4 linked regions of the Rhinolophus ferrumequinum genome follow. The protein of the gene in region 1 interacts with the protein of each later gene in a pairwise test. Links are inferred from orthologs where the notes say so. Each region holds a gene or a part of one and is shown in the gene's direction. Other genes may lie near its edges.

What was found.
Region 2: the proteins of SGTB (region 1) and SERPINI2 interact in binary tests that used the Homo sapiens proteins (3 or more experiments, as listed by UniProt). The two-hybrid records come from large-scale screens. The link is inferred for Rhinolophus ferrumequinum from reciprocal best matches to the Homo sapiens genes SGTB and SERPINI2.
Region 3: the proteins of SGTB (region 1) and SERPINE1 interact in binary tests that used the Homo sapiens proteins (3 or more experiments, as listed by UniProt). The two-hybrid records come from large-scale screens. The link is inferred for Rhinolophus ferrumequinum from reciprocal best matches to the Homo sapiens genes SGTB and SERPINE1.
Region 4: the proteins of SGTB (region 1) and RAI2 interact in binary tests that used the Homo sapiens proteins (3 or more experiments, as listed by UniProt). The link is inferred for Rhinolophus ferrumequinum from reciprocal best matches to the Homo sapiens genes SGTB and RAI2.

Annotation. Positions count from the first base shown.
Region 1 is NC_046290.1:42,025,213-42,033,147, reverse strand, and holds the start of SGTB (small glutamine-rich tetratricopeptide repeat-containing protein beta), read left to right. Parts: upstream 1-4,921; 5' UTR 4,922-5,165; intron 5,166-6,508; 5' UTR 6,509-6,530; coding exon 6,531-6,630; intron 6,631-7,935. Other genes in the region: NLN (neurolysin, mitochondrial), read right to left, coding at 4,466-4,506. UniProt on the Homo sapiens protein: Co-chaperone that binds directly to HSC70 and HSP70 and regulates their ATPase activity.
Region 2 is NC_046285.1:74,329,358-74,336,702, forward strand, and holds the start of SERPINI2 (serpin I2), read left to right. Parts: upstream 1-4,334; 5' UTR 4,335-4,385; coding exon 4,386-4,632; intron 4,633-7,345.
Region 3 is NC_046290.1:91,217,767-91,225,461, forward strand, and holds the start of SERPINE1 (plasminogen activator inhibitor 1), read left to right. Parts: upstream 1-4,677; 5' UTR 4,678-4,819; intron 4,820-5,144; 5' UTR 5,145-5,145; coding exon 5,146-5,416; intron 5,417-6,029; coding exon 6,030-6,263; intron 6,264-6,804; coding exon 6,805-6,999; intron 7,000-7,596; coding exon 7,597-7,695. UniProt on the Homo sapiens protein: Serine protease inhibitor. Inhibits TMPRSS7. Is a primary inhibitor of tissue-type plasminogen activator (PLAT) and urokinase-type plasminogen activator (PLAU).
Region 4 is NC_046284.1:113,087,558-113,094,566, forward strand, and holds the start of RAI2 (retinoic acid-induced protein 2), read left to right. Parts: upstream 1-4,004; 5' UTR 4,005-4,244; intron 4,245-4,515; exon of another isoform or gene 4,516-4,833; intron 4,834-7,009.

The DNA of each region.
Region 1 (7,935 bases):
ATGAATAAATTCTCACATTAGAAGATAAGCAAATTTTCTGGTTAGAGACTCAGATGACGAGTACTGAATATTTGTTTGAGAATTATACTCACCAAATAAACCCTCAAAAATTTAAGTAAATGCAAATTATAGTAAGAGAAATTTCCACTTATCAAATTGGTAAGGATTATAAATATTAAAATGCTCAGTGTTGGTAAAGGTATAGGAAACTAGCATTTACATACTCTGCTGGTGAGAGTATAATTTGGTAGAAACTTTTTGGAGAATATGATAGTAAGTACCAAAGGCCTAAAAGATATGCATGCCCTTTGATGTACAAATTCCATTGCTAATAATTTACACTAAGGAAATAATTAAAGATTTGGAAAGAGACTTAATAGCAAGAATATTTCCTTAAGCACTGTTTAACACATAGTATGAAGTTGGAAATAGTTGACATGTCCAAAAGTAGGGATTAAATTATCATACACCCCCAAATGGACTACGTTGTAGCTATTTGTATTATGGAAGGATGGTTACATTACATAAAAATTATAATAAACATGGTACAATCTCATATTTGTAAAAAATGGTTATGTAGAAAAGATTTTGGAAACTCTTAACAATTGGTTCTTCTAGATGGATATATTATATGTATTTTCATTTGCTTGTCAGTATTTTCTAAGTTTTCTATAATGAACATGCATTGCTGTCATAATTTTATAAACCAAAGCTTCTTTTTTTAATTAAAAGAGGAAACTAGGGTTATTATAGCTATAATCCGAACCAAATACTGCTGGATCATCTTTCTCAGTTGTTTTTTAACCATGCCATCCACCCCTCACTGTATAATATTTTTTAGATTTTGCTTGGCTCACATGCTGTGCATTTTGGCTGAGTAGCAGTTTAATTGCTATGGCAACAACAATTGAAAAAAATCTTAGATATAATTTAGTCTAGTCCTTTTCATTTTACAAAATAAGGAATTCAACAGAGATCTAAGAGACTGAGGGATTTATTTAAGGTTATAAGGTTTGCTGTACAGTAACCCCAGTCCTATCTCCAGATTCCCGGTCCACTTATTAACCCTCAGAAACTGGGTTAGTGCTTCCATCAATGATCCTGGATGCCAAGCTGTCTTTGGGAAGGGTTATAGCGACTCTGCCAATAGGATAACCCACGAGAAATCAAAGTCAGTTGACCAAAAACCTAATTAACACTTATGATACAAAAATGAGCTCCCAACTGTCAGAGGAAACAGGAAAAATATATCAAGAGAACATACAAGGCCTTCCATGTTGTCTAGTATTGATTCCTTTTGGAAGACACAGATTTGGAAACAAAGAGATTCTGTGATTCAGTCAGGTCTGCCATCCTTGGGAGTGAGGGTATGGGGAGGGGTCCTTGAGACCATTTCAAGGAGTTTCTGAGGTTAAAAATATTTCATAAGAATACTAAGATGATATTTACCTTTTTCACTTGGTTGACATTTGCACTGATGATGAAAAGCAATGCTTTGATAAAACTGGTGGCACCTTAGAACAAATCAAGGCAGTAGCACCAAACTGCTCTAACAGTCTTTATATTCTTTACTGACACTCCCTCATGCTAGAAATAATGTCGATTTCACTTTAGAATGTTCTTGATGAAACAGTAAAAATTATTTTTATTAAATCTTAATGATTGAATATATATGTGTAGCAAAGCATGCATAAAGCATTTCTGCTTTCTGAGTACAATGGTTTTCCAGAGGATTTGGCTGTCCAAATCAAAACCCCTTGTGTAACTGATTGAATTATGAGCCAAAATAGCTGTTTTTTTCATGGAACCCCATTTGTACTTTAAAAAAATGACTGACAGACAAACCGGTTATTCAAGCTTAAGTATTTGGCAAAAATTTTATCTGAAATGAAACAAAGTGAACCTGTCACTTCAAGGAAAACAGCTGATAGTATTTGTTACCAATGATAAAATTTCAGCTTTCTTTCAAATAAAAATTAGAATTTCGAAAAATTTTCTGCCACTTTTAACTTGCCAGCTTTCTAATACTTGAAGACATTTATGATGATGGATGATGACATTAAAGGAATACAATTATGTTTGATATTGTATAATGAAATGTGTCAAAATTAGGAAGAACTGTTTAACACAGTGAATCACTATTTTTCAAATAACAATGTTTGATGTTACAAAATCATGCATGAGTAAAAGATCCATTCACAGTGTAAGATAGACTCATGGATTTTAATGTAACAGAACAGAAAAGTACATATACAGTTTCGTATTCCACTTTGCAACTAACCTTTATAAATTACCACTTGTCAAACTCTGATGGGCTATCAAAGAACATCCATAATTGTCTAAGAAAAGCTCCTAAAATATTCCTCTTTTTCCAACTACATATGAATGAAAAGTGGGATTTTCTTAAGACAAAACAGTGCAATAAATATAGAAGCAGATGTAAAAATCCAGCTCTCTTCTATTAAGTCACACATTTGTTTTGACAAAGTGCAAAACAACGCCACTTCCAGGTTGGTTCTTATAAAAAACAAACAAACAAACCCCAGAAAACAAGTGTTGGTAAGGACTGGAATCCTTGTGCATTGTTGGTGGGAATGTAAAATGTTATAGCTGCTGTGGAAGAGTAATGTGGTTCCTCAAAAAATTAAACATATAATTATCACATGATCCATTAACTCCACTTCTATGTATATATCTCAAAGAATTAAAAACAGAGACTCAAACAGATATGCGCACACCAATGATCACAGCAGCATTGTTCAAAATAGTCAAAAGGTGGAAATAACCAAAATGTTCATGGACAGATAAACAAGATGTGGTATATTCATATAATAGAATATTATTCTGTGTTAAAAACATTATGCTAAGTGAAATAAGCCAGTCACAAAAGAGCAAATATTGTACAAGGTACCTAAAATATTCAAATTCATAGAGACAAGAAGAATAGTGGTTACCAGGGACTGCAAAGGGGATAAAAAGTTACTGTTTAATGGATATAAAGTTTACATATGGAATGATGAAAACTTCTGGAGATAGTGGTAATGGTTGCACAACAAGGTGAATGTACTTAATACCACTGAATTGTGCACTTAAAAATAATTGAAATGGTAAATTTTGTGTTATGTACGCTTAACCATAATTTTTAAAAAGCTGAAAAAAAAGCCAATGCCACTTTTCTCATTTTTTTGAATAATTTTGGAAAATGGTTATTTTTCATAAAAATGTTATTTATCCATGTAATGAGTTTATTACTGTTTTTAAATAAACAATACTTAAAAAATCTCCCAGTTGTCATTTCTAATAGAGTAAATATGGAAAGATATAAACAGAAGTTCTTGGTCCTGAGTAATTCCAAGAGGTAAAGGGGTCCTGAGACTAAAAAGTTTGAGAACCACTGTCTTATATGAAATGTATTCTCTCTTCGTTATGTGAAGACCTTCATTTGTTGGTATAGTTTCATTTGACAGCTATACCATTTGCAGCATGCAGACTAAAAGGAAACCCTGACATATGGTCAAAATCATACTATTGTCCCTTGGATGCACCTTAACTATAAAGGAGCAGCACAAAGCTCCACACCGATGAGTGGCAATGCACAATGGAAAACTGTTTAAAAGCTTTAAATCCCGATATGTTTCAACGTAGTTTTACAAGTATCGAGCAAGAAACACACATTTCCTTTTTTCTGTTGGATTTTCATTCAGACTTATAGTTCAAGGCTAGATGTGGGAAGGGAGATGGTAGCTGCATTGTTTCTGAAAAACCACTCTATTTAGCGCATCCATGCAAAGGATTCTCTCACCATTTTGCTACTGGTCTGTTGAGGAGGGTGGGGTTAGGGAGCTAGGAGGCAAACCAAAACAGCATCCGAGGCTGCCCCAAACCATGGCCAAGCAATAATTTCCTCCATTTTGGGCCAAGTCAATTTGCCCAGACAAAAGGTCGAGTATCTTCTGGGGAGGAGGTAAATAAAAAGGGTATTAGAAAGCCTGATTGGAAATCATCAAAGCACAGCGGTTTCATCTTGCGTGAATGCTAAACGATTTGTATGCTAAGTGTGTGAGGGGCAAACGAGAACCGTTATTCTTGAGTCTACAGCTGCGGCACTTTTAATGACGGATCTGCAGTTCTGGATAGGGAAGAAAGACAAATGATTTTCTTATCCGGACCATCTTTCTACAATCTTTTCGGGCCAGGCCTGTGACCAGTCTCTTTAACTGCAGCTGAGGCAGTTCCAAACAAAGGGGAATGGATACTCTCCCGAGGGAGAAGACAAGAGAAAGGTGGCCCTCCGGTTCTCGCGCTAGGTGGCCCTCAGGGTAGAGCGTGCGGGTCACGAGGAGGGAGGGTCCCAGGAGAGTCGTAGGGATGAGATTGGGAAACGCTGGGCCCGGGCGCAAGCCAGCACCGGGGCACAAAACCCCGCCCTGCCCACTGTCAAGGTTAACACGCGCACTGGAGGTACCTGTGGAGGTCTCGCACAGCCGAGAGGCACCGGGTGATCATGGGAGCGCCGAGAGGCGGCGACGGCGAGCGTGCTGTCCTCCGGTTTGGGGGAGAGGAAGGCGGGGCGCCAGTGAACCGAGAGGTGGTCTAGCCGAGAAGCCAACAGCGGCTGCGGCGGTAGCAGCGGAGGCAGCAGCTGTTCCTACGCGAGCCCTCCCACGTGCGGCAGCTCCACGCCGGCGCCCACGACAGCCACCGCCCCCCGCACCGCCCCCCGCACCGCCCCCCGCACCGCCCCCCGCACCGCCCCCCGCACCGCCCCCCGCACCGCCCCCGCACCGCCCCCCGCACCGCCCCCCGCACCGCCCCCGCACCGCCCCCCGCACCGCCCCCGCACCGCCCCCGCACCGCCCCCCGCACCGCCCCCGCACCGCCCCCCGCACCGCCCCCCGCACCGCCCCCCGCACCGCCCCCCGCACCGCCCCCCGTGCGTCCAGCACCGCCCCGGGGGCGGTTCTGATGAGACCTAGCCGCTGCAAGCGAATCGCACAGCCAGGTGGGCTGAGGGGCGGCGGTGGCCTGGGAGCCGGGGAAGTTTGGGCGACCCGTGCCAGTGCCGCGATCCGGGGCCAGGCTCCAGCCCTGAGGACCAGGGGGCGGGCGTACCCGCTGACGGACGCCCGCGGGCCCGCTGCCATCGTCTTGCGTCCTCCTGCCTGGTAAGGGGCTTCTGTCTGGGAAGGGTGCATCCCCTGACGCCCCAGATCGGGCCTGCACCGCGCACCCTCAGCAATACCCGTCAGGGCGGAGGCGAGGCCCGGGTACCGAAGGGAGGAAGGAGGAGGTCGATGTGATCTGGGGAGACTAAGGGAGAGAAGCCTGGAGGAGGCTGGACATCTCCATTTCCCTTCTGCACCCTCCCCTGTCCCCCCATTCTTTTTTTCACCTTCTGCCCTGGGGCCTTATTTAGTACTTGCGACCCCATGGCCTAGAAGCGGGGCTTGCCTTTAAAAATAAGCACACAAATAGTAAACATCCTAGCAGCGGGTACCACACCCAGGCTTAGAATTAGGGAACGGGGGAGCAGATGGATGATGCGATTTAGTGGAAATAAGCCATTAATGCCGGCTGGCCCTGCGCCACTATTTGGATGCGATAGTATTCGGAGTGAATGAACATGACCAGGAGCTTCCAGCTTGTCCACGAGAGCACAGCTACTGCAGAGAGCACTGGTCGGTTTATAGTATCCATCGACTTCGGCAATGATTTCCTGACATGTCTGGTGATTGAATAGAAATGCCATTTTTATTAAGAATGACACTCAGTCGAACAACCTTTCGTTAATATATTTCCTCATCAAATAACTGTCTCAGCCTACCAAAGTAGGTGGAGTGTAAATTAGGCATACATTTTTAAAAATCTCATGAAATAGAGGGACATGCTCAGCGTGGACCAGCTTCTGAGTCAGCAGTATGAATTCTCCCTCAGTTGAGCACTGAGGCCTTTTGGGGACTTCTTGTATCTTTATCTATACCCTTATCCTTGTCTCTATCTGTACCATGTATATATACTGTTAAGATATAGTGAGATATTCAGTTAGAGTCTAAGCTTATGTTGTACATGTTTTGAGAAAGATTTTACTTTTGCAAGTTTTAACATAATCTATTACTACCGGGTATAAATAAATATGTAATACATGACCATAACAACACTGTGCTCTCCTGACTCTTTAAAAATAGAAAGGAGTGAAGGTAATACAGATTTCAGCTTTTGCTTTATACTTAAAAAATTTTTTTTAATTAAATTTGTTGGGGTGACATTGGTTAATAAGATTATGTAAGTTTCAAGTGTACAATATTATAATACATCACATGTATATCGTATTGTGTGCTCCTCACCCAAAGCTTAGTCTCCTTTGGTCACCATATATTTGATCCTCTTTCCCCTCTACAACCTCCCCTCACCGTCACTTTTAATATAATTTATAACCCTTGTTATTTATAACCTTTCTGACCGATTCTGTAAAATAACTTAGTTCAGTGCTTTTCTTTTTCTTATCAAGGAAAAGTGGTTAAGCTTTTAAAATGTCATCTATCAAGCACCTAGTTTATGCAGTTATCCGTTTCTTACGGGAACAAAGTCAGGTGGACACTTATACTTCAGATGAACAAGAAAGTTTGGAAGGTAGGTACCTGTTCTTTATGTTCATTTGTGTTATAATTATAAAGACTTAAAATAGCTATAAGCCTGACTTTGATCTATTAAAATCAGAATATTTTGTTGATCTTTCAAGAGAGACCAAACCATAAGGTCATCATGTTTTCATTCTTTGAGGCTTGTTTTGTTTGTTTTAATTAACCTGAGAAGCGGACTACTGTTACATTTTTTGAACTGCTATCATGTGTCAGAACTATGCTATTCGTATTGTGGAGAATTTTTTCTTTACAGTGAATGTTAAGTTAGTATTATTCCCATGTAACAGATAAGTAAATGAAACCAGATTAAGTAACATAACACAGTTAATATGTGGCAGAGCTGAGATTTAAATCCTGATTTTTACTCTGAAGATCTTATTATCTCTTCTTCCTAACAGAAAAGCATCCATTGAGACTTGCTATATAAAAATACCTTAGTCATCATAAAAGCACTATGTGAAAGTCTAATAATTATGTCACTATTAAGCTTTGACAGCTCCCTACCTGGGGACTTGAAATGAAATGAGAGGATTGCACCCCCGTTTTATGTGGGCTTTAAATACTAGATTCGGTAATCTGTAAAATGCAGCAGGACTTGGATGACAGATACCATCACATGTTTCCTTGACGTGTTCCTTTTCATCACGTTTTCCTTTTCTGCTTCATGTTTATACATTATAAAATTTACATTCAGTATAACCATAACAAGATAGAATTCTGCAGGTGGGCTTCTGGAGGTTCAATGAGCCTAAAGACTTAATTATTGCAATGAGACAGTGCATTTGGGAAAACTTACTGACAGTACAATTTGAATTTCCCATCTTGAAGCTGTTTCTCCTGTAAAGGGGATACATCTATTAATTTCAATAAGCACTTCCCTTGTGAATATGCTTTTCGGAGGTAGGGATGAAAATTGGGTATTTGTTCTAAAACTGCTTGTAGTCTGGTGAGATGATGTCTTTCCAGGTGGCATTGAGAGAAGCAGGTGACATACAGTCGCACAACATGGCCATCAGTCCATTTAATATTAAGGTCTTTTGTTCTTGATGGTTAGACTATAACTGAAGGTAAAGGTGACTGGTTATCTAAGGAGGATGCTGGTTGTGGCTGCTCTGTAGCAAACTGATAAATGCAGTCATTTAAGAAAAGATGTTTCTTTTCTAATCAAAGGCACTATAACACTTTTAAGGGCCAGAAGGAAAATTCAGAATTTTTTAAAAACCAACATGTTATGTCCTATTTTTAGCATGGTAGTCAGCCAAAAATATGTGCCTTCAGCTGTTTGTTATATATG
Region 2 (7,345 bases), on another chromosome or scaffold:
AATTGTTTTTCCTGATGTGTTAGGGGCGACATAAGAGTTGTAGAAGAAACAGATTTTTGAAAATATTTAAAAGGTTTGCAGTAACATTTTATGGACACTTAGGTTATCTTTATTAAAAAGGTATTAAAGTAGCTTAAATCAGGGAGGAGAAATTCATGGCCATTGCTTTTTACTTCCCAAGAGACAGGAAAATGTATTCTTCATGAACTGCTCTACCATAAGGTCCTTACAGAACAACTTCATTAAATGATCTTACTAAGACAGAGTGTCTGTCTCTGTCACTGGGAGGAAAAGTAATGGCCTATTCCTGGGGAAATCGCATTATGATCCAAGTAATGTACAGACATAATAATTTGGTAGCCAAGTGTACTTGTGATGGATGTTTGCTGGTGTCACTACGTGGGTAAGAGAGCATTGATTGAACGACAGTCTTGGACATTCAGACTTATTATTTGTAATTGCAGAGTAGAACAAAAAGAATGATAGGGTTCTTGCGTTGCATAACTGTGTTCCGGAAAATTATCTCTAACACTGTTAAGTGGAAAGCTGGCAATGAGATTGTTTATGTTAGATTAAGTAGTGGTAGGATATAACCCAGAATTTAGAAAAATAAAAGAGAGATACCTAGATGGTTAATTAAAAATGTTCGTCTACGAGTTTTGGTTTCTTTATTTGTTTGTGGTTTTCCTTTGTTGTTTTCAGTTTTCCATCCCACATATCAGTGAAATCATATCGTTCTCAACTTTTTCTGTCTGATTTATTCTGGATGGTGAATGTGATATATATCCCACAATGTGATATATAGATGATGTATTACAGAATTGTACACCTGAAACCAATGTAACTTTACTAACCATTGTCACACCAATAAACTTTAACTAAAAAAAAAAGAATCGTGGTAAATTAGGAGATTATGGCCAATAACAGTCATCAGGCTACTCAGGCCTCTTATAAAGCTATAGCCCTATTAGGACTGAAAATTGTTAACAGAGTCCTTGAAAAAGTATTTCAAAAATAATTCCTTTTAAAGGTATCTATATTCATTTTATTTATTTTTAATGAATTTATCAGAAACAATATTACATTTAGTAATCAATAGTGAATACTTGCTTAATTGTAATTGGAACATGTTTTTTAAAGCTTAAATTATTATTTTGTTTTTTCAGTTACAGTTGACTTTCAATATCACGTTATATTAGTTTCAGGTGTACAGCATAATGGTTAGACATTTATGTAATTTGTGCAGTGATTCCCCCCGATTAGTCTAGTACCTCTTGGCACTATACATAGTTGTTGCAATATTATTGACGATATTCTCTATGCTGTATTTTACATCCCTGTGACTATTTTGTAACTACAAATTTGTATTTCTTAATTCCTTCCCTTTTTTCACCCAGTTCTCCAATGTTCCTTTGCTCTGGAAACCATCAGTTTATTTCTGTATCTCTGAGTCTGGAACTAAATTTTCATTTCTCTTATCAGAGGCCACTAACAAATAATCCAATGTGTTTAATAGCTGATTGCCACTGACGTGATTGATTTGAACTAGAACAATAACATCAAAACCCATTCAATGATGCAATGATGTATTTTTTATTAATGAACTGTCTGTAGACGAAATCATGTAAAATTTAAAAATCATGTAAAAGTAAAACCTATGTTTATTATCAAATTCCTTATGTTGAATAGTATTATCTTGGTATAATTTGGTAAATCAATAATTTTAATCTGGTCTTTTTATTCAACAACATAAGTATTATATTTCTTCAATATCCAGTTTTTTCCCAAAGGATTCAAATGGACCTTATATCCACAGGAAATTCCTTTGACTATTGTGTAATTTGATGAATTGTTGAGAATTCTGCAGCAGTAATTTGTCTCTGCATTCTGGACTTGATTTAGCTTTATTCTTTTTCTCATAGGCATTCTGAAATATTATGATGGAATATATTGGTAATCTGATATGGGAGTCCTGTGAGAAACAAAAAGAACTAATTACTAGCAAATTTAGAAGCACAGGCATATTCTTTCAAATTCAGTTTCTACTAATAAAAGAAGTGAAATAATGGATGAGATAATAATACAAACCTAATGATCTTTTAAAATTCTATTATTGTTTTCTCTCTCGATTCTTCGATATTTCATCACTGGTAATTAACCTGATCATGTGAGTCCTCTTATACAAATGTGGTGAACACCTGCTTTGGTTTTAGAGGAATTAATCAAGCAGTGTTCAAGATAAACAGAGTTGGCCTTGACCGATCAGGTATTCCATGTTCTAGTGTTTCCCAGAAGGGATATTTTAGTTATAACATTACCGTGAATACCCAGAAGCAAATTTGGGGTAAGTACCTTAAAATTAAATAGATTATGAATATAGTATATATGCTATAATATTGACTCTGAGTATTTAATAGAATAGGAATACATTCCAATAAACTTTGGTAGATAGTGTTTAAATTTATCAGATTAGCATATTCCTCTTTATTCTCCTTAAAAGATGTCACACATTTAAATATCAAATTCTTATAGAACTATTCGTCAGGTTGTTTAGTTCATCAGTACTTTGTGATTTCTGATGAGATACAATCCAAAGCCAATGAGGTAAGTGAATTTTTAAAACCAATTTTTGTATGCACTTGTAATTTATTAAGTGTCTAGAAATGTTCTAGAATAAACGGATGCTCAAATAATGTACTTTTTAAGTGTTAATGTTGTTAATAATAATGAGAGGAAAACTTCCAGGTTTTACTATAAGTAAAAATTATGTATTTTATGTAATATTATTATGTAATATTATTTTTCTAATACAGACTAAATACATAAAGATGTACATAATGGAATGCCACTTGATGACTTAAAAGTACTGATAACATTTTGACTATATATCTACAAACCAACATTTGGGCAGAAATTTTCTGAGATATATAATATATTAGAAAATGATACACAGAAATTTATTTTGCATGTATAACTTCTCTTATTCATTAGCTTTTACTATTGTTGTGCTGCTATTTACAATCTTATATTCTAATTTAATCCTCGGTAAAGCATTTGCTTGATAGCATATATATATATATTTATATTTGTAGTTTATCAAAACACTATTTTCTAACAATTGCCTTGGATTAAATTTGGATTACATTTTCCTTTGCAACTTGTATATCTAGACAAATAGATTTAACTACATATATTAGAAAACAATTTGAAATATCTAGATAATGACTCCACAGCTTAGTTTTGGAGAATGTTTGACTATTAGTAATCTTTATATGTAAGAGTGATTTTAGTGACTCATAACCCATTCATGGGTCATGGTGACCTTCCTAATGGTGTGCAAAACACTCTAGAAAGATAGTTCTTCATTTCTTTAAGGCTCACAATACATTATTTTGAAGGCTTTCATCTTTACCTCCAATGAAAGTTTACTTCCTAGTAACTTACTAAACTATGGGTTGTTAAGGGTTACTAAAGTGTATTATCTATAAGGTAAAATTAGTGTTGCTAAAACGTATGAGTCCTTCAGAGTGTACTATTCCAAAAGTCTTTGGTAAAATTGCAAAATTCATTCTGTTCAAGATGTAATTTGGGTTGAATTTCCTGCAGTTTTAGTGGAGAGTATTTTAATAGGGTCTCATTACTGTTGTTGTGAATCGGTTATAGTTTTCAATTGAAGTTTTCTTATATTTGTTGTTTGTCAAATTATTCTTTGATTTTTTTTAATGCTCCCTTCTTTTGTTATAGCTGTACCATTTATATTTAGTTGTAATTTTGTTTCTTTTCTCTCTTTGGAAAGGTACATGTGGGTTTTGGGGTATTTTGCCCTACACATTTCATAAAGTGTGAGAATTCCTATTGTAAAAAGCCAGATTACTTAATCAATTTAGAATACATTAACTCCGTAACATTATAGGTCCCAAATCACAAAGGAGTGTGTTCATTTTTTATTCCATTTCTCTTTTTTGATTTATTAACCATTCTGGAGTAGTCTGGACAGAGGGTTCTCTTGATATCAAAGTTACAGTTATCCCATTTAAAACCACAGGAAAAGATAAGAAAAAGATCATATAGCTATTTAGGTATATTATTACTAATTATTATGCTCCAGAATTATAATTTATCCTTTGATTTTAAAAAATCGCTATATATTTTGGACTGGTTCTTGAAGGAATATAAAAAAAGACCATTAGCCTATAGCCTATTTCTCTAATAGATGATGCTTAGTCTGAAAACTGGCATTAGAATCTTCTTGTGGTAATTTGTCCTAACAAGACAGAAAATTCTAATAAGTAGAAAGTTTTCTGTTTAGTTTTTTATATGGTAAAACTAATATATTTATTAGTTTTGAAAACTAATGTATTTTGAATTGATGCACAGAGGTCAAAATGGATAAGATCTTGTTGTGGAGTCTCCTATTGACTTTTTCTGGAAGTCAAGCCTCAAGATCCTTGGCTCAAAGACATACTGAATTTGCAGTGGATCTTTATCAAGCTATTTGTTCATCTCATAAGAACAACATTATATTTTCCCCCCTTGGAACAACTTTGGTTCTTGGAATGGTACAACTGGGAGCAAAAGGAAAAGCACAACAGCAGATAAGACAAACTTTAAAATTTCAGGACACCTCAACTGGTGAGATTTTAACATATGATTATTTATATTGGATAAGATCTAGTCAAATTTATTTTTTAAATATTAGAGAGAAGTTCAGGGTCATAGAACTTTAATAAATTAAAAATATTATAGAAAGATTAAAATTATAATAAAATGAGGAATTGTAAATGTAAATGATATTTATTCATTTATAATCATTTCATAATGAAAATGTTGCCAAAATAGTTTAAGAAATTAATTCTATACAGATGTAAAATTGTGTATATCTGTATATTTTCTTCTACTCTAATTTAGCCCGTTGTAATTAATTGAGGTTATGTTGTACGTGTGTTTTTATACGTATACCAGGGGTGCCAAAAAATGTGTATACAAGTGGACACTTTGGTCAACGTTGCTCAAGCAGTAGTTTGCTGTAATCAGAAGTGTCTGGACGCTGATGGTAACCACTTTGAGCATCTCTTGTAATTGCAGAAGTCAAACGTGACTTGTATTCATCTTTTGTTATGCATTGGTATTGTATTCATCTTTTGGTATACATTGAGTATTATAGTTGCAATACAGTTTTCCTTTCTTAAAATATGTATACATTTTTTTTTGGCACCCTCTGTATGTACCTACATATGTATATACACAGATATTCTTCCACTATCACTTACTATGTTGTGATTATTTTCTCATATCATGCAACTACTTCAGAATATAATTTTTAATTGTTGTATTTTACTATCTCTTATGGAAATACCATCACTTACTTAATCCTTCTTTATTAGTTTGCTTCCAATACTTTTTTTATTAAAATGTTTTGGTGAGTACCCTCACCCAGAAATCTTAGTGTGCATCTCTGTTTTGTTAGCTTTTTAAAATTAATTTTCTAAGTAAAATTTAACTTTTTCACTTAAATCAGATCAAGAAAAAGCATTGATGTATATATTTTAAAAGCTTATTTGGTTAATAGTTTTTAAAGAAAATTTTTGGAGATAAAAAGCATTTATACAGCCCTTCAGAGGCCTTTTTGAGTGTGAGTGGTTGTTGTTTTGGAGTATCCCAAAGGTTCATCTGAAATACTGTATAGAAGCTTTAGTGCTGGCATTCCATTTGAAGGGGTGGTTGCCTATTTTCCTGACTCTTCTGTGTTCTCAATTTCCATAATAATTTTAATTTCTAACTTTTACATCTCTGTTAGATAATCCATCCTGAACATCAGAGGAAACATCCAGGTTTTTGATTTGGGAATTTATTCACTATGACTAATTTCAATATGTTTGCCTTAGTACAGATTAGTTATATGTAGGAATTTGTTTTTCTTCTTTACAAGGTTTTACTTGTGTTACTTTAAATAAAGTCAATTTTATAGAGAAAAAAAGTTGGTGATAATGAAATTCATTGCAAGGGTTTCCCTATGTGAATAATGGAAAATGAAGCTACTGTGTTCCAGATTTAGTCTTCACTGTCTATAATAATTTCAACAAATCCCACTATACAGTCCCAGAAACATTTCAGTCCCATGATACTGCTTTGGAAAGTAATAGAACATTTATGAAGATATGTAAAGTTGAATCCATGATAAATTAGTAAAATTAGAGCCTCTGAAATCTAAATTACTTTAAATGGATTTCATCTTATATAGAAACACGTGTCTTAATAACTCTAGGTTGTGAATGAAATAATAATCATAATGATAATGATGTCACTTTCAAGTATATATAGTGTCACAGTCACTGTTTTATGTGCTTTATGTACATGATTTCATTTAATATTCATAATTACTCTGTAAAGTAGACATAAGCCTGCTGTACAGATGCGGACACTGAGGCAAAGAAAGATTAAGTAACTTGCCCAGAACTATTCCAAAAATAATTCACTGAGGGTTATAGATCACATGAGCAATAAAGAAAATTTCTATATTTTCCTTAGAAGAGTACATATGGATAATTTCACATTAACATTTTGGCACATATAACAAAATTTACCAAACTTGCTTTCTATTATGCTCCCTTAAGGGAGATACAGATAAAAGATAACTGCAAAAAGAAAAGAAAGACTAGCCAACAATGGAGAAGATATGAAAAAGAAACTCTGGAAAAAAAAAGAGGGGGACACTAAGGAATAAAGAAAAAGGAAACACAGAGTTAAGGGAGGGAACAGAGTGAATGTGCAACAGGATGGAGGGGGGAGGTCTGCAGAAAGAAGAGCAAACTAGCACTAAGGGTAGAATGAAGGGTGTGACAGATCAGAAGAAGGTAGTGTCTGGCAGAGCCATATTGGAACCCAAGAAAAAAAGAATAATCAGTAATAATGATCTTGCCTTTATTTAAAGTTTTCGTATTTTGTTCATCATGGATTTACGTTAATACTGATTTTTAAAGTGCAGAAGGTGCCAAAACAATATATACACATTTTAAGAAAGGAAAACTGTATTAAAATTGTAATACTCAACATATACCAATAACAAAAGATGAATACAGGTCATGTTTGACTTCTGCAATTACAAGAGGTGCTCAAAGTGGTTACCATCAGCGTCCAGACACTTTTGATTACCGTGAACTACTGCTTGAAGCAACGTTGACCAAAATGTACACTTGTATACATATTTTTGGCACCCCCGGTATATATGTTGCAATAAAATATTATTTATCTTGATTACTGAGTTTGATAGCATCTTTTTAAATTTTATGCGCAAGGTGTCTCTGACTTATGTTAGTCCTAGCTCTGCCTTCAATACCCACTGATT
Region 3 (7,695 bases), about 49 Mb from region 1:
ATGAGAGAGAGAGTCCAAGCAGGGTGTCCCCGGGGTGCCCTGAGGCCTGCATTGCTTCATTCGGCTGACACCATGGGGCTCTGTGGTCATATTGACCCCAGAAATCGCACACTCCACCCTTTCCTGCCCCAAACTTCCCCTCGTGGCAATCCTGGGCCCCATTCGCCCCCTCTGCCTCTTTCCCCGAGAGAGGAGGCTCATTCTTGCCCGGGGGGAGAGGGAGCTGTGTGAGTCTCTGTGCTCATCGAACGCTGACATCATGAGTGGTATCCCCCAAAGGATACTGCCCCCCTCAGCTCCCCCTTTGAAATGAGGATAAATAAGACATGGCAATGGCCACAGTAAGTTCAAGGACACGTACAGAAATGACTGTAAGTCAAGGAGATATACATAAAAGTGGTTGAAGGGTTATGGGGGTTATAGGGGAATCAACAAGAGATAGGGGACACAGGTGGCAGAGAACGGGTCAAGGGGGCCAAGCTCAGCTCTGTTTTTACCTGTTGGTAGAACAAGCCCCACTCCCCCAACTTCCGTATGCTGAAGGGATCAGGGCATGTGTCAAATGTCAGTGGGGGTCCCCCTGTGACCCGGCAGCCATAGAGGAAAATCTTACTGGGATCTAAAACCTGCGAAGTTGGCCAATGGGAGCACGTCAGGACCGGGGTGGAAGCAGGAAGATCTGGCCTGAAATGGACCGGAGGGGCTGGTAGCCATTCTTTCTGATAACCAGCCAATCCATTTCCCACGCATTTCATCTATTCCACTAGCTGCCAAGGGAAGTAAAAAAAGATTGCCTAAAACAAGGAGCTTGTGTTGTACCAAAATTGACATCTCAAGCCGCCCAGGTTCCTGGCCTGGCTCTGCCCCAACCAAGGTTGGCCGCCCCTTAGCGAGAGCCTAGAATATGCTAGACATCGACAGGCAATATTTCATTTATCCCTCACAGCAACCTGAAGGATGGAAATCATTATCTGCCTATCTGTCCGTTCCTATCGACATACCTATCTACAAATAAAAAAACTGAGGCTCACAAAAGTTTTGCCTGCGGACACATAACCAGCTAAGTGTCAGACCCCTGACCAGGCCGGTCTGGCTGCTCCAATGAGCACTGTTCTGCCATTTGCTGTATGTCACTGTGTGACCTCAAACACGTGACTCAGCCTCTCTGGACCTCAGGGCTCTCACCTGCAAATTCAAAGCTGGATTAAGTGGTTCTTGGAGCCTCCCCCCTCCTCCGACCCTGAAATTCTAGATATAAATGGAGAAAAAAAGCAACTGTGGAAAACAAGGGCTACCGTGGGGAGATGCAGATTTTAGTGTTACGGGGAGTTTCAGGAACGGTGGCTGGTGGGGGCTGGAGAAGACAGAAAGGAGAGGGGCTGTGGAGGCCCAGGAGAGGGAAGTCGGGCCGGGCAGCAGTGTGAGGAAGGCTCCCGGCAGGCCCAGGCAGCCACACCGCTGTCAGGCTGTCCCAGGGACGTGAGCTGGAGGCTGAGGCACACAGCCTTCGCCCTAGCTCACTCCTCCGAGAAGGACAGAGTGAGCCTAGCCCAAACACGGACTATTTTTGGCAGTTATGTTGTTTGGAGAGCAACCAGGTCAGAAATAGTGCTGTGAGTTAGTGGGACCTGCTCCTTTTCCCACCCCCGGCTCTCCCAGTGAAATCACCAGGAATCCAGAAGCCTGCTCCAGCATTCCCGGAGCCTGTGCAACTGACAGGGGCAGCACTCTCCTTCCCACAGGAAGGCGGGGAGCAGAATATTTGACTGTAAAAGGGATTCTGGAAGAGGAGAGGAGAAGGAAAGAGGGACTGAGTCACAGAGAACAGAAAAGAGAGAGTGGGAAAATGGGGAGAGCGCTCACGTGGCCAAGACTTGGAGACCTGGGGAAGGAATGGGAAAGAATCCAGTAGAGGGAGGGTTGAACAAAGGAGATCAACAAAGGGAAAGTGCAAAAGAGGGTGAATGGCTGGTGTTGGGAGAGCAAAGAGGAAGGGCCAAGGGCGCAAGAGGGCAGCTGGAGGGCAGGAGGTGAAGGGCTGGAGGTTGAGACCAGCGGCCCCAAACTGAACCAGAGCTCATGGGGTGTGGGGGCGCTGAGGGAGACAGTCACGGGAAGTGTGATTCTGGTCTGGTCACGAACCACCTGCCGAGAGCCAGATGAAACATCTTTCCCCGTTGGCTGGAAGTGGAACTTCCCCCAGAAATCCACAGCCTTGTAACTCACCCTCTTATCTCTGACTGTACGGGAATCAGGGATCCAACTATTACAACACAGGGACTTTTCTCATTCTGTCCGTTTGACCCCTGACAAAAGAGCCTAGGCTTCAAAGAGGTGATTGGGTCAAGGCTGTTACTTTGGGGTTCAGTGAAAAGAGAGAAAGTGACAGTCCCTTGAGTCAGGCTAGATTCTGAGAAAGGCATTGTGGGGAGGTCTTATGGGGAACAGCAGGTGGTCGGGCTGTACCTGACATGTGGGAAGTCTCCGGAGGGCAGATAGGGGATGGCAAGGCCATTTTACAGAGACGAAAGAGCGGCAGGGACCAAGGTCAAGTCTTGGTTTCGAACAGGTAGTGGCCCCAGCCAACTCATCAGAAACTCTGGGACCCAGTTCCACTAGGCTTTGCCTCAGTTCTAATACACACCCACCAGATGTCTACAAGTCCCTTCCAGTTTGGAGACAAACCCCTTAGTAAGTCAGCCCTTTCTGTTTCCAGCGCCCCTTCTCTCCCCCCACAGGACACAGAGCTGCTCCCGGGCTCCTGTGCCTGAGGATGGACAGTCTTTTCTGGAACGGCATCAGGAGCATCTTTCAGGTCCAGGAGCGGGGACAGAATTGGTCACTCTCCTGGCAGGGCCCAGGCCATCCACAGAAAACGGCAGGAGCTTTTACGGCTGAGGCCGGGCAAGGCAAGGGCGAAGGGCCCCTGGAATAAGAGATGGAGCAAGAGAAGGAGGCTCAGCGAAGGTGGCTGAAGAGGCCGGGCAGTGAGGTGATTCAAAGGAGCTGCTTCAGGACGCTGCTCTTCTAACTTGGGACTTGGCACTCCCAACCCAGACTCCCAGGTTCCTGTCTCCCTCTGATCCCCAAAGGCAAGCCTTTGGGGGCATTTCTGGGGGTAGGACATGGGTGGGGGGGCTGGACTTCTGTCCTCTCCACCCAAGAGAAGTAAGGGATAACCACTTCCTCCTCAGAGCTAACTACTCTCTCAGGGACTCCAAACCACAACCAAGAAAAGGAAAAGGAATAAACAAGAAGCAACTAAATGGGAACAGTCCTGTAATGGGTTGGTGATCTTAACTTTCCAACCGAGGTTGCTCTTTGTTCCCTGCCACCCTGCATGCCCACCTGACTCCCAGGGGCAACAGAGAAAACAAAGGCGGAGGAAGAATAAACTTAGGAAAGCCATCCAGCTGTGGTTGCCCTTGGTGTCTGTTTACTGAAAAATCCAAAACAAATATCCCGACACTTCCACCCACTTAAACTTCCTGTGAATCTTCTATCGGCTGTCTCCATGGATACTCCCAGTTGAACCACATGACCTACACAAAGTATGATCGTGTGTGTACCCCCAGGTCAAGTGCAGGACCCCATGGCACCCAGCCCCTCTGTCCAAAACATCCAGGTCACATAGCCAAGGGTGCCTGACCCCACCGCCGCCAGGCCCCCAGATGCACATGTATGATCCCACACACTTGCCTCCAGCCAATTTCCACTCTCTGTAGAATTCTTGGGTCACTCTTCTACTTCTAACCCAATGCCCTAGGAACTGACACCCTCACTTCTATCCCTACTTCCGCTGCTCCAGCCCCGCAAGTGTCTGCATCTGGAGGAAAAGGATAAGGTTTAATTTTCCCCAGTCACAGCAGGCAGCTCAGAGAAACAAAACTTACATGTTGGACTCCTAATTCCTTGGCAAGAATTTACTCCAGTAACCCCTGGTCCTTTTCAACCTCCACCACCCCACCCAGCACACCTCAAACCCCTGCCAAACAGGGCTGTTGACACAAAAGAGAGCCCTCAGGGGCACCTCAAGAGTCTGGACACATGCGGGAGTCAGCCATGCATCATCCGACACTCGGAAGGAAAGAGGGAAAGACAGAAGGAGTCCTTTGCCAGGCTCACGTCCTAGACAGTCAAAACCCAGACAATCACATGGCACGCTCTGTGCCCTGTGGCCGCTGGGACATGGCCAAGAGGGGGGAGGGGCATTCTCCTCAGGTTGGCCAGCACATGGGCTGGACAGCGCTGGCAGACAAAAGTCCACAGGACCATGAGCTTCTTTGATAACTTGTGATGATCCATTTCTCCAAAGGAAAAGGAGAAAATACGAACTGTTCTCCCCCAAGCTGAGCACAGGGGAAGGTAATCCCAAACACTGGACATTTGGGGCCATCTGGCACTGCTGGGGATCAGGCTGGCATAACATCCAAAGAGAGAGGGACACAGGCGGAGGGCAGCCACATCAGGGAAGGTCCTTGTACCTAGGCAACTGAGTTTTGCTCAGTTCTTCCTGAACCGTCTCTCACACGTACACACACACACACACACACACACACAGCAGCACGCACACACATGCCTCAGCAAGCCAGACTTCCAGAGCCAGAAAGTGGGTGGGGCTGAGCCATGAGTTAATCTATTTCCTGCCCACTTCTGGTATAAAGGGAGGCAGCAGGCTCCTTAACAGCACAGCTGCGTCTGGCTGCAGGGCTCAGGGCACTGTCAAGAGAGACACACCCCCTCTCCAGCAGCAGAATCGCCACAATCAACAGCAGCAGCAGGACGAACTTCCAGTCACAAGGCACTTTGAGAACTTCAGGTAAGAGAAAAACAAACTCTTCATCTCTTATCTCGGGTGAAGGTGGAGAACGCCCTTCCGCAGAATTTCCTCTGTCCCAGAGCCCCACTTTCCTTCTGTCTATAGCCAGCCCCCAGACCTGCAGCCCGAAGTTGACCCTGCCGGAGCAGTGACTGCAGAGTCTGAAGCCATTGTGGTTTCTTAATGAGCTTTGACCTCGTGTTCATTTATCACCTGCCAGTGGCAAACACAGGAAGCCTGGCCCCTGGCTGGGGTATGGTCTCCCCACCCCATTCGCCATCCTTCTAGAACCATCCCTCATCAGCTCTTTCCCCCCTTGCTCTAGGATGCAGATGTCACCAGTCTTTGCCTGCCTAGCCCTGGGCCTGGCTCTCTTCTTTGGTGAAGGGTCCGCATCGTACCAACGCAGGTCTCAGGCGGCCCTACTGGCAACAGACTTTGGAGTGAAGGTGTTTCAGCAGGTGGCACAGGTCTCCAAGGATCGCAATGTGGTTTTCTCACCCTATGGGGTGGCCTCAGTCCTGGCCATGCTGCAGCTGACAACAAGAGGAGAAACCAGGCAGCAGATCCAAGAGGCAATGCAATTCAAGATTGAAGGTAAGAGATGCGGCAGAGTAGGAGGCAGGCACTCGTGCTGCCTTCACAGAACTGGGGTCTAACCAGCCAGAAGCAGAGGAAAGGCCTGACTCCAGCTTGGCTGAGCCAACGCCAGCGCTGCCATGCGACAGGGACCAACACATTTTTAGTCACAAGGTGCACAGGCCAGTGTATTTGGTGTAAAATAACCTTGCTCACCACTTAGTACCTGTATAACCTTAATCCCTCTGAAGCTCAGTTTCTCATGTACAGAATGGGGATGGAAAAAGGACCCATCACAGAGGGCTGCTGTAAGGAGTAAATAGAATTGCACATAGGCAATGTTTAGCATAGCTATTACTATTAATATGAGAAGAAATGTAGGGTTCATAGCTTAAAAACAGAGAAAAATATTCTAACACAAAGAAAGGGTTAAGACTTGAGATTTTTGAGGAAAAGAGGGAGATGCAGAAGAGATTAAGGTTTGGAACAAAATCTCCCTCCAGAGACCCCTGGGGGAGGAGAAGTGCTCCGTTCATGAGGGCAGGGTAAGGCGTCTCATGGGGAAAGATGGCCCGACTGGGAATCCTTGGCTGAACATGAACCTGATGTATCCTTTCCTCCCTCGGCACAGAGAAGGGCATGGCCCCTGCCCTCCGTCAACTGTACAAGGAGCTCGTGGGACCATGGAACAAGGATGAGATCAGCATCGCCGATGCCATCTTTGTCCAGCGGGATATGAAGCTGGTTCAAGGCTTCATGCCTCACTTCTTCAGGCTGTTCCGGACCACAGTCAAGCAAGTGGACTTTTTAGACATAGAGAGAGCCAGGTTCATCATTAATGACTGGGTGAAGAGACACACGAAAGGTGAGCAACAGGCAGAGAAAGGAGGCCCATCCCAAGGCCTGCCAAAAAGGGTGGCTTGGAAACAAATCCCAAATATCCTAACCTCTCCCTTTCAGCACTCTCTTCTCTGTAGACAGAAGGTCAAGTGCTTGAAGAATCAGTGTCATGTTTTTCAGAATTAGGCCTTCTTGTGAACCAGCTCTAACGGCATCCCCCAAAAGTGCTGTGAGATTTCTTTAGAACAGTTATAACCATGACGAGGAGCACACACAACCCTTCAAGACTGCAGCTTAGGGAGCAAAGTAAAGGAAGACTAAAGTTTCCAGGTCGGATCCTGGGCAGGATCTCAGGCCCAGGAAGTGTGGTCAGCTGAGAGGTTTTCTGAGACCCTTAGGAAGATGGAACGAGTTGAAAATAGCTAGATTGGTTCACCTAAACCCCCAGGCTATTTTCTGCCTGGATGGCTTCAACAGAAACACACCCATTAGAGGCCTGGGAGCTGAAGGAACTATGGAAGAGGACTGAAAAATACCTAGCTCCTGATCACCTGGTTTTCCTGTAGGCATGATCAGTGACATACTTGGCAAAGGGGCTGTGGACCAGCTGACGCGCCTGGTGCTGGTGAATGCCCTCTACTTCAACGGCCACTGGAAGACTCCCTTCCCAGAGTCGGGCACCCACCAGCGCCTCTTCCACAAGTCCGATGGCAGCACAGTCTCCGTGCCCATGATGGCTCAGACCAACAAGTTCAACTACAGTAAGTGCAAGACTCCCTTCCCCAAGTCCCACACCTACTGGATCTCACCCCGGGTGTTCCCATCGAAGGGAGGAGAAATCCTAGAATACAGCCCAGCTTTAACAAAGACTCCCCGAGAAGGAGACACCAGGATAACTGGAGCAGCAGAAAGTAGCTTTATCTCATGCAAGACAAAAATGAAATCCAGCAATTCCCTCAGGCCCACATTTGACCCCTTGACCCCTCGCTCTCATCCTCATATGTTTCTAGTGCGGTTACCTGGGGCCTACAAATCCTGCTGGGGGAAGGAAGGGCAATGTCAAAGTTGAGATTAAGGAGATGAAGACTGGAATAGTGACCGGGTATTAGGGAGAGGGCAGTGAAGGTAAAGAAGGCCAGAAAGAGACGAGAAACCAGAAGACACTGAATTGGCAGATGAGAAGGAAAATGGGAATGAAAACATTGAATAGGACAGCAGTGGGTGTGGGAGCCTCAAAAGCCAGAATGGAGAGCTGGCTTCCAGAGTGGAGGAGACAGGAGAATTAGTTGAAAACCCAGTGCCGGGTTGGAATCAAGAACTGGAGCCATTTTCAATGTGCCATCTTGGTGTCTTCACAGCTGAGTTTTCTACCCCTGGTGGCCATTACTACGACATCCTGGAATTGCCCTACCATGGGGACACACTCAGCATGTTCATTGCTGCTCCCTATGAAAAAG
Region 4 (7,009 bases), on another chromosome or scaffold:
AGTGGCCACCAAATTTTTTCAACTTTAGTGAAATACAGACCCTTTAAGAATTTCCTGAAAGCAACAGACGCTTTTCCCCAGACACATTCATACCCATGAGCCCTAAATTGGCATTACAACTTCAGGGCTTCCAGGAACTCCTAGAGAAATTGGCAATGATGTTCGTGCAGATAAGATCAAATCATGTTGTCATGGCCCAGGGTGACGGGCTCAGCCATCAACTTAAGTCACATATGTCTTCTGCAGAGCTCATCCACACCCACTGACTGGTTCAACAAACACCCATGGCCCAACAACTCCCAAATCTAGGTCTCCAGCTTAGATTTTGACCTCCACATCTGCTCTTGCAAATGCCTACTGGACTTCTCTCTGTGGCTACCCAACAGGCACTTCCAACTCAAAATGTCCTAATCAGAATTCCCTGGAGCAAACACTGACAGTGCTCTACCCACATCCCTCGGATGCTACCATTTCAGTGTGTTCCACAGACCTCCAAGCTGCCAGCCAGGATCCTCTCCCGATATCTGAGAAGGACTCTCTGCCTATGCCAGGTGGCAAGTTGAAATTCCCAGAAAATTAGCATCCTCTGGGCAGCCCTCAACCAGCTTCCTCACTTCTTGAGTGGGACAATTCTGGAGTGCATGTTTTGCATCGTGTCCAAGAGTTTGCTTGCGAGATTAAGCTCCACTTGCTCATGGTAGTAATGGGCCGTGAAAACATTCCCCCTATTGTCTGCTGCCCCCCTGTCTCCCTTCCCCATTACCCTACCAGTGTTTCCTTCACCTTCCAAATCAACTTTCTGCACTCAAATCCTTATCTCAGGATCTGCTTCTGGGGGAATCTATGGCATTCATCATTTCCAGTCCCAAATCTGCTTCTCTTCCTAGGGACCCCTATCTCAGTGGCCACACCCCACCCCCCTGTTACCCAATTCAGAAAGCCAGGCGTCAGTCATTCTAATCCTTCCTGTTTCCTCCATCATTAAGTCCTGTTGATTTTATTTCCTGAGTACCACTTAAGTTCTGACCCTTCATCTCTGCTGTCACTACCTTCACTCCAACTCTGATCATTGACAAAATCTCTCTCACCTGGTCTCCCTGCTTCCAAGCTTACCCTCTCCAATCAGCCCTTCACACCCCCCAGGGGAGCGATCATTCCTCAACCCGAATCTTTCCTGGTCACTCACTCCCTTGCTTCAACTCTGTCAATGGCTCCCCATTGACTTTAAGAAAAAACTCCTTTACAGGACAGACCAGGGACCTCAACTGACTCCTACCTACCTCTGCACCCCCTACTACTATTCTTCACAGCCTCTACTCTACCTTCACAAAATATTTGCAGCCTCCAGAAAGTGCTTTGCATCCAAGCATTGGTGCCTGCTGTTCCCGTCACTTGTAATGCCTTTCCCTTAACTTTGAAAAACTCCTGTTCATCTCTCAATGCTCAGCTCTTGTCACCATCTCTGTGCAATCTTTTCTGACTGCCCTGCCCCATGCCATTCCCTATGCCTTCTCAGTACAAGGGTAGGCCCACTTCTTCGGTGTTCACCTGGCTGATTTTATAACTCTTCATGTACCACACAGTCTCCATAGTATTATTAACACTTTATTTACTGGACTGTGAGCTCCTTGGGGTCAGCAACCCTATGTTAAACATCTCCCTAACCATAGTCCTTAGCTCAGTGACTGGCATACATCAGGTGCTTAATAGATGTTCATTGGATAAATGAATGAATCACACATCTGGCAAGTATGCAAAAACTAGATTAGGAGGCGATGCTGTATTAGAGAAATAGGACAGAGACAAAAGAATCAGATCTGAGATAGGAAATTTCTTGAGTCCAAATATTAGAATTAAAAATCTCAAAAATCAACCTGAGCAATGAAGTTTTTGTTTGTTTATTTGTTTGTCTGTGGTTCTTTCCTGCTGTTTGGGATGTCCTTTCTTCCCTCCATTTTCTTAGGCATCCCTTAAAACTGTGTAAATACAATTTTTCCATGTCCTATTTCTGTCTGAAAACATCTCCCTCCCAATCCAGACCCTTTCTTTATGGACTCCTCTTTTCCCCTTCCCTCTGCAAGGGTTGTCACGATGAAAATACAGAGGGGTGCCACTGTACATTTCTTTGGGAATAGGGGCCATGATGCCTGTTTATTATGCATTAATCTGAATCAATATAGTCTTTCCTCAAAACATAAGCACCTCAAAGGGCAGCAAATATGAATCACAACTGCCAGCGAGGATCAAACATTAACCCAGGGTTGTGATGAGGCCAACAAAAGAAATAGGCTAGTAATTGCCTTCCAGGATATCAGTCCCTACCGTATACACACATACCCCCTCAACACACACAAAACCTTTATGAATCTTTCATCCATGAACTTGTCCCATTATAATTACCCAGCTGTGTCTTTAGTTGTATTCAGGCTAGGTCCTGGCGACGGAGCCCTCACATACCTGATCCAAGGGCTCAGAACAGTTATGAGAGCCATAGAGGAAGTCTTTGGTTACCGAAGTGGTTGAAGACATATAACAGACAAATATTTCCATTGGTATCATTAGTTACTCAGAGCTGATTTAAAACCCCAAGAGCCTGATTGAAACAAGTAGGATGTGGTACCTTCTGTTGATGTTCATTATTATCAATTCTTAAACTTGAACTGTGTGTCTTTCTGCCCTTATGTTGATTGGGCACTTCTTAAATTAACTCTTTTTTTCAAGAGGAAATTCTGTATCAAGGAATAGTACCACCAGGGCTGACTTCTCTGTTAGCGGCAGTAGGCACAGTGCCTGGGGCCCACAGTCCTTTTAGGGGCCCACGGACATGTTTTAATTTCTTTTAAAATCAGAAGAAAAAGTGATCTTTTAAGTAGAAGAAAATGTTTTAGTATATCATGTTAATATATTCGTCTTTACACTAATGCAATTGAAAAATGTAATCTTTACTATTTTTTTAATGGAGGAACGCATCCACAAAGGCAACGTGCCCACGAAAATCATAATGTGGCCCTGCTTTCTACCATATTATGCTTATAAAACAGCAAGGTTCAAACAGAACCTTTCAAACACAAGTTCAGCTTCCCATACAAATTATAAACTTAACCAGGCTTCTCTCTATGTATTTCACACTCTGGTCGGCCACCCCAAATTCTATAATACAAGAGGGATATCATGGTTACCACTCAGTGTTGGGATTAAAGGACATATGAACATGCAAAGGACAGGTAGATTCAGACTGCTTTCTGCTCCGATTAAAGTCATGTCTGCTCTGCTGTTCTCTCAAATATCTTCATCCTGTTTTGATTAGCAGGAAACAAATCTACATCTTTGGGGATCAATTAAACCAATGTAGTTGCTTCCTTTGCTGTCTTAAAACATTTATAGGATTTAGGTTTTTTATTTTGTTTTAAAATGATCAATAGTACTGCTGATACCTATGATTTATTTACTGGTTAGTAAACCATATATTCATCATCTCTGTCTGTAACTCCAGTTCTTAGCCCTGTGTCTGGGAAACAGTAGGGGCTTAATAAATGTTAGATTCATAAATGAATCACCTCTCAAACAATTACGTGGAAATGAGATTATTGTCCGTGGACTAATTTTGTCTCTAATAATCTCACACTTCGTGAGAAGGATCTTGGACATGTATGACAATTGACATTTTAGGAGGTGATCCCTGGGCCCTTCCCACCTCTCCGGCCTCCATCAGCCAGCCACTTTCTCCCTCCTGGGCTCTGTTCTCACTCCTCTCCATCCTGGGATCTGGAATGGTCCTAGCCCGCCGGCCCTCCCAGGCGTCTCACCACCCCCACCCGGCACCCCGCGCCCCGGGTGCCCCTTCCACCAGCCACCCCTCGCCTCCTACAACCACGCCCTCCCCGTGGGCGAGATCACCTGTCCCTCCTCCGCCACCGCCTCCTCGGGTACCCTTTCGCCCCCCTTCTACTCCCCCTCCTCCGCCACCTCCCCCAAGCCCTCCCCTGCCCCGCCTCCTCCCACCCCTTGGTGTATATAGTAAAGGCTGGGCTCCGCACGCAGACACACACTCGCCCGGACACAGGCGCACACACGCTCACGCACAACCGGCAGCGGCGGCGGCGACAGCAGCTCCGTGACAGCGGCGACGGCGGCTCCCACCGCTGCGCATCCTCTTCAGGCGGCCGGCGGCGAGGCCGGACCCGAGAGTTCCCGCACCCGCGACCACCCTGCGGCTTCCTGGAGGCGGCGGCTGCGACTGCGAGGTACCGGCCGCGGAGCCCCACTACGGGTCGGGGTCCCCCCCGCCCTCCCCGGGCGGACCTGCCACTGGACGCAGGGGGCGCGCCGCGCTGGGCGCGCCTGGCAGGGCCCGGCGCCCGGGGAGGGGCCTGCTCCTGGGGGCAGGACGGCGCCCGGAGGCCGGGGCCAGCGGGGAGGGCCGGGCGGGGGCGGGGACGCACAGGCTGAGGCCGCCACCCGTGCGGCGTCCCCGGGTCCCGCTCCCGCTCCCGGCGCCGCGCACTGGCCGGCGGGGCCGGGGACGGCCGGGGAGGCGGCGCCGGCCGGCGGGGCGGGGGCCCCGAAGTGGGTTTCGGGCCGCCACCAGCGCTGGCACCCGGCGCAGAGGGCGGCGCGCGGCAGACTCCGCGCCTGGGCACCGCACGGGGCCGCCTCTGGCTCTGCCGCTCTGCCCCGGCCCGGAAAACCCGGCGCCTTCCAGGCCCTTCGAAAGATGGATTCTGTTGACGTATCTGGCGGCCCTGGAGAGCCGGGTGGAAAGTTGGGTTTTGCCAGATCGCGTTGGGCTCGCCTTTGTGACGCTCGGCCAGCCCCGCAACCTCCTGGAGCCGGGTGAGTGTGCGTCGGCGCCCCGAACGCCCTCGTGCCCCCCAATGTTCAGACCCAGGGTGGCCGCAGCGGCTCAGGCTTTCTGCCATGTTAGGCACCGAGCAGCGTTCTCGCTGCATTTTTGCGTGCGTTTCCGCGATGTCTTTTGCTGCGGAGGGAGTTATTGCTTGTCGCCGCGTTGGCTTTTTCGGGGTTGGGGTTGTGCTCTGTGTGTTTGCTTGTTTGCCGTTTAAAGCCCGACTATTGTTCCGGATATGCTCCGCCTGGGTGGGGAAATGGCATCCCACCACAGTTGCCGGCGAGGGGTAGAAATGTTGCCAAACAGCTGCTGCTTTGTGTTTCCCTATCAGAAGTCCCTGGAGTAGGTTTGGGGCACGACGGATGGATGGAGAGAGGGATGGGGCACGGAAGAAGAAGGTGGCTTTGGAGAAGCGAATTGTCACCCACCCCGTGGCACGCAGTCAACCTCCTTTTCTGCCTGCCAAACTTTTATGAATATTCCTTTTGTGGCACGGTGAAGCTTAATGAATTCAGCCCAGTTTTCCAGGGAAAAGCAACCCGGCTTTAACAATGGTTTGAGAACTTAATCAATGAGAAAGGCAGGGGGAGACGGAGGAGGCGCAGACACCATATCGGGGATGTGGCTGCTTCTAGCAGAGTCAGGTGGGGGAGAGGTGGGCAGGGCAGGGCGCAGCGCCGGGGTGGCCGCGTTCCGGGAACTATCCATAGCTCTTACCTGTGCTGGCGGAGCCACCCTTAGTCTTGCCCCACCACCTCACCGTCCGCCCCGAACTCGGCGACGGTGCTTGAGGGGCAGCTTGCGGCAGTGCGCGGGCTGGCCCCCCTCATCTGGCGTTTTTAAGGATGTGTAAATATTTTGCTGAGGATAAGTGACATCAACAGAATGATATTCCGCAGAGCCCGGGTGTGCAGCGATGATAAATAGATACGGCCAAACAAAGTTTTGATAACCGCGAATTCTCATGGCTCGCTCTGTTTCATTTGAGTCTTTGTTTTTGTTGGTTTAGCATTCTCTCTCCTCCTCTGGTGTGATCCCTTTATTTAGCTGAGTCTTGGAAGCTTCTCTTTAGAACAGAGAGAAAAGCAGCCAGCAGGGAGAAAGCAATTCTTAGCCTTGCGTGCATAGGGCAAGGTTTGCTGGGCTTTTCCCAGGGGATCTTTCCCACCGTTTTCTAAATGTCCCTCTTCTTCCTTTGGAGTAATCAGAATTGGTTGTTGCTTGACCAAGAGACTTCTGATAACTTTGAAAATGTGTGGTGATGTGCCTTTGTTACAGTAGACGGGTTCCAGTGTGGGTAGAGGACAGTGGGGAGGCCAGTGGGTGGGAACTGCTTGCGCGGGAGCAGCATTATGCCCCCACCCACTTGTTTTCTTCTCAAAAGGGAACATGGGGAGCTGTGCCACTTTCAGAAGCTGGGGATGGGCTGCAAGGTGCACATTCATAAGCCCGGTGGCATCCCAGTTTCTCTGCCTCTGAGAAGCCCAGAGAGGCCGTCTACTGCCGCACCCCCCTCCCCCACACACACATACACAATATCTTCCAAATGGGCACTTTCGTTTCATCCTATAAGATACCCACTAGAGGCGTCAGCAAGGCGGCCAGGGCACAGTGAACCAAATGAGACTGGAACTTGGGATACTGGCTGCTTTGGCACCAGCACCGCTCAGCCCTGGCTGGGGAGCCTTTATAACGTAAAGAAGCCCCCGACCTCCAGCAGTGAAGTTCCGCCCAGGAAAACCTGCCCATCTCGGGATTAAAAGCGAAAACAGCTTTCCCCGTGATGCCAGTTGCCAGTGTGAGAACTTGGTTGGTGGGCAGTTGGGTAAGCACTGCAAAATAAATAAAACGTCTGGTAGCCCAAAAACCAGCCTCCAAGATGAGGCCTCTGAAAGGCAGGAAAGAAAAAGAAAAGGACGGGAGGCGTTGAGGAGGTGTCGCTGGGAGTGCCATAGCACCGAGAGAGAGCTACAGCACTAGTTCCAATGACCAGAGAACTGGATGAGACTGGCCTCCCCCAATCCATTGGACCCAGCATGGAGATATTCTGGATGTGGAGATAGTCACATACAGTGTGCTCTGAGTCTCCAGTCAGAAATACCAAGTGTCTATTCTCTTGCTCCTTCTCTAACCTTAGATTTGGGGAAGGAGGGTAGTGCA